2 linked regions of the Pelodiscus sinensis genome follow. The protein of the gene in region 2 interacts with the protein of the main gene of each other region in a pairwise test. Links are inferred from orthologs where the notes say so. Each region holds a gene or a part of one and is shown on either strand. Other genes may lie near its edges.

Region 1 (3,895 bases), on a different chromosome or scaffold from region 2:
TCCAGGCTCCTTGGAAGTCTCCTCCGAAGGCACCTGCTCCTCCCCCCGCTCCGTCCAACATGCCTCTGATCAGCAGGGGGGCCGGGCCGTGGGGGCGCGCACACTGAGACCACGCTGCAATAGTAGCGCACGGCGGGAGCTGGGCTCGGCCAACGTGGGGTGTTTCGGGGTCAGGTGGGGGGTGCCGGGTTCCTAACACTCCTCCAGAGCTGATGTATAAAAGCTTTTCCCCTGGGGACCATGTCCAGCTGGGGGAGGGGGGGGGGGGCTTGGCAGATTGGTGGGGCAGTGTCCAGTGCGGGGCTGCTGGCCGGGGTGTTTTGCCTGCATGGCGCAAGGGGCCCTGGTGGGGAACGGAGTCGGGGAAGGCACGTCCGGGCTGGCGGGGATATTCTCTTGGCTGCCACCAGGACCCGAGCCTGGGCACCCTGGAGCCAAAAGGGCCAAGGCCAGGCCCTCCACGCTGGTTGGGTTCATACGCCCCTCCGGAGCTTTCTAGCGGGTGGCCAGGGAGCAGGTGTGAAACATCAGGTGGGGGGAATAGCCTCGGATGTGTGTGTCCCCCCCCACGTCTCTCTAGGACACTGCGCCCCCAGCGGTGGGAGGCAGATGTGCCCCCCCCCCCGGCGTCTCCGGGACACTGCGCCCCCTCCCCGGCAGGTCGCGGTGCCGGGATGGTGGGGGACAGAGCGGCCTGCCCCCCTGGTGTCTCCGGGACACTGCGCCCCCTCCCCGGCAGGTCGCGGTGCCGGGATGGTGGGGGACAGAGCGGCCTGCCCCCCTGGTGTCTCCGGGACACTGCGCCCCCTCCCCGGCAGGTCGCGGTGCCGGGATGGTGGGGGACAGAGCGGCCTGCCCCCCTGGTGTCTCCGGGACACTGCGCCCCCTCCCCGGCAGGTCGCGGTGCCGGGTGGGCGGCGGGGAGCCGGGCGCACAAGCGGGCCAGGCGGGATGATCCTGCGCCCACGTGCTGAGCCCCACGGCAGCGCCCTCCCCACAGGGGCGCCCCTGCCCAGCGGGCACGGCCAGTGGGGGGCGGGGTCCCCCCTTTCCCTGCGCCTGGAAGCCCCGCGCCGCGCGCCCAGCCTGGCCAGGGAGCGGAGCCCTTTGTCTGCCTTTCCCACCCCGGGCGTGCGTGCGCGGGCGCGGGCGGGGGCGGTGGTGGGGGGGGGGGGGGAGGCTGCAGCTCCCCCCCCCCCGCCTCCGGATAGGAGCTCCATTGCTCTGGCCTGGCGGGGGGGGGCGGGCCATGAATATTGATGAGGCCGCCGGGGCGCTATTGTGCAATTGGCGCGGGGCGGGCGGCAGGATGGAGGTGGGGAGCTGCGCGCAGCGGCTCACTCGCCCCGCGGTGGCTCAGGCGGCGGCGGCAGGGCGCGGAGGGGCCGCGGAGCCCGGGCTTTGTTAGCTGCACCCCCGCCATGGAGCCGCGCCCGCAGCCCCAGTGACCCCCCGGCTGCGCCGCGCCCCGAGCCAGGCGAGGACGGGAAGGGCCGGTCGGTCCCCTTGGAAGGTAGGTGCGCGCGGGGGGGCAGGGCGCTCCGCGGCGGGGGGGCCCTCGGGCGGGGGGGGCGCCCCCCGGGGCCGGCGCGTCGGGCGGGGGGGTCTGGCTCGCGCCGCCGCTTTGTGCCCGGGGGCGCTGCCGGGGTTGGGGCTTTGTGCGCCGGGGCGCGACGCTGCTGCCCGCGCCGGACTTCGGGTGCGGGTTGCCCGGGAAAGGGGGTTTCCATGGCAACAGCGCGGATGCCCTGGGCGGGGCGGGTCGGTGCGGGGCGGGGGGAGCGGGGTCGCCCCGTTTCCCCCCCCCCCCCCCGGGCGCGGCGGGGCGCGGGGGCTGGCGCTGCCCCGGGTGCCGGGAATTCACGCGCGGGGCTGCGTGGGGGCGGGCTGGGGGGTTTCCAGCCCGGGCTGCTGCCGGGGGGGCTTTCCCGTGCGGGCCCGGCCGGCTGCGAGTGCGGGGGGGTCTGGAGCGGCGCTCGGGCTGTTCCAGCCGGTTTCAGGCCCTGGACAGTGTCTCCGCGGGGGCAGGGCGAGCCTGGCCTCTGGGCCCGGGCCTTTCTGCCTGGCTGGCGGGGGGGGGGCCGGAGCCCTCCTAGGACTGGCCGCTGCAGATCCAGCCCTGTGAGCCGGGCGGGGGGCGGGGGCTGTGCCACGCTGTGACCCCCCCCCCCCCCGCTGCTGGCTTGGCTGGCCGGGGGGGCCCGCTGGGGTGTCTTACCTTGACTGGCGGCTGCGAGCGCGCAGGCCGGGAGCCGCCGGGCCCCCCCGTGTTCGCGGACAGGCGATCCACGTGCACCGCAGCTCCCTGCCCGGTGGTGTCGTGCTGCCACTGCCTAAAACTGGCCACGACTCGGAAGTGCTGTGGGCAGCAGCCCCCGGTTGTCAGCCGCTCGCTGGGGAGGCTTTGGTGGCTGCAGCCGGCGCTGGGCTGGCTTCGGTGCAGTGTGTTTTCCAGCAGGGAGCCAGGCCAGGAGGTGGGTGGGGGGCTCCGGGGTGGGGCCAGCTGGTTCTGAGCATCTGGGGAGCTGGAAGGGCTGAAGTTTGGTATCCGGCCTCCCCTGGTGTGCCCAGAGCAGGGCCATTCCTTGTCGCCCACTGGGACCCCCTGGCCAGGCCCCCTGTCCCTCTGCCCGGTTTGTTAGGACCAGCCCTAAATCCCTCCCTCCCTCGTCCTCCTGCGGACTTGCCCTCTGCACGTGGCCTGTCTGGAGTCTCCCGCCTCACTGCCCATTCCTGTCACTTTGACGCCAGCCCGGGGCGCGGCAGCGTGACCTTGTGGAAGGCTGGTTGGTTTGCACTGGGATGGGGAGGGGCTGCTGTGACTCGGCTCCCCAGTTTCCGAAGGCCTGGCCGTGCTGGCCCACGGAGACGTGGGGCAGGGCGAGTTCGTGCCCTGCTGCTGTGAATGGGCTCCCGTTCCGGGGACTCTGGACGCTGCCCCGGGACTAGCTGCTTTGGACACGCTGGTGCTGGAAGCCAGAGGTGCTGTGGGGGCGGGGCTCAGCACCTCCCAGTGCCGGGGAGAACATCCCCTCCCTGTTTCGAGGGACTCCTGTGGCTTCCCTCTTGTCCCGGGGGGGCTTTCCATCCCCAGCCTGGACTCGGCAGCGCCGGCCACTCGTGTCGGCTTCAGGGCCCCCAGAAATGCCCTGGATGCCTGGTGGCTGCAGGAAGGCGGATGTGGCCCCTGGGGTGCACTCGTGAGGGGCAAAGCCAGGAGGCTGGGGAGCTCCGGGGAGGAGAGCTCACGCCAGGCCCCCCAGCCTTGTGCTTTCTTCGGAGGCCCCGACCCCCGGGGGGCGGGCGATGCAAACCCCCCTCGGATGAAACTCTGCCCGCCGTCCCACTGTTGCCAGGGCAGCAGCTGGCTCTGTCTCCGCCCTCCCCCGCTGGGTGCGGTGCCCGCTGTCCTGGCAGGTTCTCCGCTGGCGTGTCGGCTCAGGGCGCCTTGGAAATAGTTCACTGGGTAACTGGGTTAAGCAGAGGCTCCTCCACCCACCCACCCACTTACATAACGCTGGGCGGGCCGGGCGAGTGGCCTGGAAGGTCAGGTTGTGTTGCCTCCATGGCGACCCGGTTGGCAGGGGGGAAGCAGCGTGTGGGTTCAGCCAAGGGCCAGTGGGGGGGCAGAGGACTGTGTGACGCACCCACCCAGCTGTGGCTGAGCCCACCTGTTGTGAATCTCACTCGGGGCCCTGGCGAGCCAGGGAACCTGCAGCCACCTCCGAGGAGACGGGCGGTCCCGGGGCTCGGAGGGCAGGCGGGCAGCGGCACCTGGCCCCGGGGGGGCAAGCGCAGGACAGGCCCAGACCTTCGCTGAGCCGCACCTGAGAGCAGCCTGGGCCAGGCCCCGAGCTGCTTAGCAGCTGGATTCCCGGGCAGTCCGGCTCCCACG
Region 2 (3,895 bases):
AGGCACAGGCAGGTCTGAGGAGGGGGAGGGAGAGGGTCTCCCTTACCTGGTGGGGGGCTGCCAGGGCGTGCTTGCACAGTGCTGCCCCCTCTTCCTTGCAGAGCCCGCAGGCCAGCGCCGCCCCCTCTTTGGCCTGGCTGGCCCGTGGCTCCTCGGCTCCTGCCCCTGCTGCTCCCTCCTCCTCTGCGCCCTGGGCTCCTTCTCCTCCCTCCACCTTCCGGGCACTGGGGTCCCCTTCTCCCTCCGCAGCGTCTGGGGAGCTCCCTCCTTTGGGATCGGCCGCTGCTCCCCCCTCTGGCTTCCCAGCATCCTCCTCTTCCTTGGCGTGAGTCGGCGTTTCCTCCCCGGGGCTGGACGCCCCTTCTGAGCCCCCCAGGGCCTTCTCCGTGCCGCTGTCCAGTGAGTCTTCATCACTGCCTTCCTCTTCCTCCTCCTCCTCCTCCGACAGCTCCTCCTCATCCCGCTGCGGGGCGGGGCCCTCGGGGCGGTGGGGCGGCTCCCCTGGGGTGGTGGGGGGCTCGGGCAGCAGGGCGCCGTTGGGGATCTGGCCTCCCAGGTGCATGCGGACGTGCTGCTGCAGGCTGACGGCGTTGGTGAACTTCTTCTGGCAGATGGGGCAGGAGTTCTGGGCGCGAGCGGCCGGGCTGGCCTTGTGGCCCACAAAGTGGGCCCGCAGGTTGCCCCGGGTGGAGAAGGCCCGGCCACACACCTTGCACTTGAAGGGGCGCTCCCCGCCGTGCTGCCCGTAGTGCAGGCGCAGCGCCCGGGGGCAGCTGAGCACCCGCAGGCAGATCACGCACTGGTTGGGCCCCGAGGACGAGGACGAGGAGGGTGGCGAGGGGGCGGATGGGCCGGGCGACGTCCCCTGCCGGTCGATCTTCTCCACCAGCTGCTGCAGCTTGGAGGTCTCCGAGGGCGAGGCTCCCACCGGCTCCAGCACGTAGGGGAAGGGGAAGCCGGTGCTGCCGGCTTTGAAGTGGTTAGCCAGCAGGGCCCAGCTGGGCAGCTTGCCCAGGGGCACCCGGGCTGTGTCTGCTTCCCTCCCCGGCGGGGTGTTCTCATCCCCCTTGGCCCGCCCCTCCGCCGCTTTCAGCAGCACCAGCTTGTTGAAGACGGGCAGGGCCTGGGAGGCGCCCGCGGTGCCCGAGAGCAGCGTCAGGCTCTCGGTGGCGCTCAGCCCCTTGCGCTCGGCGGGTGGCGCCTCCTCGCCCGGCTCGGCCTTCTCGGGGGGCACCGACATGCCGTAGGGCAGCCCGGCGCCGGTCAGCACGTAGTCGAGGTGCTCGGGGACGGGGTGGGGGTTCATCTGCACGTGCGGGTACTTCTCCCGGTGCCGGTGGAAGTGCACCTTGAGGTTGCCCCGGGTGGTGAAGCGGTTGCCGCAGACGTTGCATTTGTAGGGCCGCTCGCCCGTGTGGGAGCGCAGGTGGATCTGCAAGGCGCTGTCACTCCCGAAGACCTTGGCGCAGAAGCGGCATTTGTGTCGGCCCCCCGGCTTCTCCTCTGGCCCCGCCTCGGCCCCGTTCTTCGGCCGCAGCAGCCCGGGCGAGGTGGCTTGCTCCAGGCCCCGTGCAGCCCCCAGACACTGGGCAGCCAGCAGCCCCGTGGCGGGGAGCGCTGGGGCCAGGATGGGCTCTGCTCTGGGGCCCCGGGCGCTGCCAGGGAAGGGGTGGTAGAGGTGGAAGAAGGTGGGCTTGGGCACCTCCGGGGAGCTGGACGCCTGGGTCCTCACCGGCTCGGACTTGATGGAGAAGACGGGCAAGGGGGCCTTGGGCAGGTGGGAGGCCCCCGGAGCCGGCTCCGGCTGCCCCAGGGAACCCAGCAGCAGCACCTGGCGGCAGATCTCCTCGGTCATCTGCATCTGGTGCAGCTGGCGCTGCTGCAGCACCCGCAGCTCCTCCAGGATCAGGGGGATGTTGAGGTGCCCCGTGGGGGTGGCGGGCGGGGGTGGCGGGGGAGGGGGCGGCTCCGGGGCGGCGGGGTTGCTGGCTGGAGGAGTCGTCTCAGTCTCCATGCCCGGGGGGCTGTCAGGCCGGGGCTCTGAGGAGGAAGAGGAGGAGGAGGAGGACGGGCCAGTGCTGTCTTGTCCGTTGGCTGAGGAGGAGGAGGAGGCAGGAGGCGGCTGGCTGGGGGGACAGGCGTCCCGGTGGGTGGCCAGCTCCGTGGGGCAGGACGGGGCGGCCTCGTCCCCCGTGTCCCCTGGGGAAGGAGGGAGAGAGAGTCAGACCTTGGGGGAGTCCCTGGCACCCCCAGCTTCTGCAGCACCCCCAAAGCTACAGGCAGGGGAACCTGCCCCCTGAGACCTGGGGCTGCCTCCCCCCAGCCCTCACCCTTCCATTGCTCCCAGGAATATTCGCGCAGCACAGCGCCCTCCCCCCCCACGGGCGCGTGAGAGTCCAGCGGGGGCTCGGGGCCCAGCAGAAGGGGGGTGGGGCAGGGTTCTCCTTTCCCCAGGGTGCACAGACAGACAGACAGACGGGGGGGTGCAGCGAGCGGATGCGCAGACTGACAGGGGACGGACAGACAGGCAGACAGAAGAGCGCACAGAGGACAGACAGACGGGCGCACAGACATAAGGGTGCAGGGGACGGACGGACAGAAGGACGCCCGGACGGACGGACAGACAGTAGGACGCACGGACAGAGGCCGGACGAGGTCCCCGCCCAGTCCCCGGCAGCGGCCGGAGGAGGCCCGGCCCGGCCCGGCGAGCGCGCAGCGGTACCGCACCTGCGGGCTCCGCCATGGCCCGATCCCGGGCGCGGGGCCTGCGCGCTGCGGCCGGAGCAGGGGGAGGATGCGGGAGGAGCGGCGGAGGGGGGGGGGGGGGGGGGGGGTAGGAAGCAGGAGGGGCGAGCGGATGCGGGAGGAGCCGGAGCGGGTCCGGGGCTGCAGGGACCTCTGGTGTCCGGATGCCAAAGCCGGAGCCGGGGCCAGCGCGGAGCGTCCGCTCCCTGCGGAGCCAGCCCGGGGCCCTCAGCCTGATACCTGAGGGGTTCCCAGACCCATCCGGGGTCCTTGCACCCCCATTCCCAGGGGGTTCCCAGACCCATCCGGGGTCCTTGCACCCCCATTCCCACGGGGTACCCAGACCCATCCGGGGTCCTTGCACCCCCATTCCGAGGGGGTTCCCAGACCCATCCGGGGTCCTTGCACCCCCATTCCCAGGGGGTTCCCAGACCCATCCGGGGTCCTTGCACCCCCATTCCCACGGGGTACCCAGACCCATCCGGGGTCCTTGCACCCCCATTCCCAGGGGGTTCCCAGACCCATCCGGGGTCTTTGCACCCCCATTCCGAGGGGTTCCCAAACCCATCCGGGGTCCTTGCACCCCCATTCCCAGGGGGTTCCCAGACCCATCCGGGGTCCTTGCACCCCCATTCCGAGGGGGTTCCCAGACCCATCCGGGGTCCTTGCACCCCCATTCCCAGGGGGTTCCCAGACCCATCCGGGGTCCTTGCACCCCCATTCCCGGGGGTTCCCAGACCCATCCGGGGTCCTTGCACCCCCATTCCCAGGGGGTTCCCAGACCCATCCAGGGTCTTTGCACCCCCATTCCGAGGGGTTCCCAAACCCATCCGGGGTCCTTGCACCCCCCCATTCCCAGGCGGTTCCCAAACCCATCCGGGGTCCTTGCACCCCGATTCCCGGGGGTTCCCAGACCCATCCGGGGTCCTTGCACCCCCATTCCCAGGGGGTTCCCAGACCCATCCAGGGTCTTTGCACCCCCATTCCGAGGGGTTCCCAAACCCATCCGGGGTCCTTGCACCCCCCATTCCCAGGCGGTTCCCAAACCCATCCAGGGTCCTTGCACCCTCATTCCCAGGCGGTTCCCATAACTATCTAGGGTCTTTGCACCCCCATTCCCAGGACGAGTCCCAGCACTGCCCATCCAGGG

The links.
Region 1: the proteins of sal-like protein 2 (region 2) and ZMIZ2 interact in binary tests that used the Homo sapiens proteins (3 or more experiments, as listed by UniProt). The two-hybrid records come from large-scale screens. The link is inferred for Pelodiscus sinensis from reciprocal best matches to the Homo sapiens genes SALL2 and ZMIZ2.

Annotation. Positions count from the first base shown.
Region 1 is NC_134738.1:4,833,955-4,837,849, reverse strand, and holds the start of ZMIZ2 (zinc finger MIZ domain-containing protein 2), read left to right. Parts: upstream 1-1,284; 5' UTR 1,285-1,513; intron 1,514-3,895. UniProt on the Homo sapiens protein: Increases ligand-dependent transcriptional activity of AR and other nuclear hormone receptors.
Region 2 is NC_134740.1:748,758-752,652, reverse strand, and holds the start of sal-like protein 2, read right to left. Parts: upstream 2,772-3,895; 5' UTR 2,744-2,771; coding exon 2,638-2,743; intron 2,200-2,637; coding exon 47-2,199; intron 1-46. UniProt on the Homo sapiens protein: Probable transcription factor that plays a role in eye development before, during, and after optic fissure closure.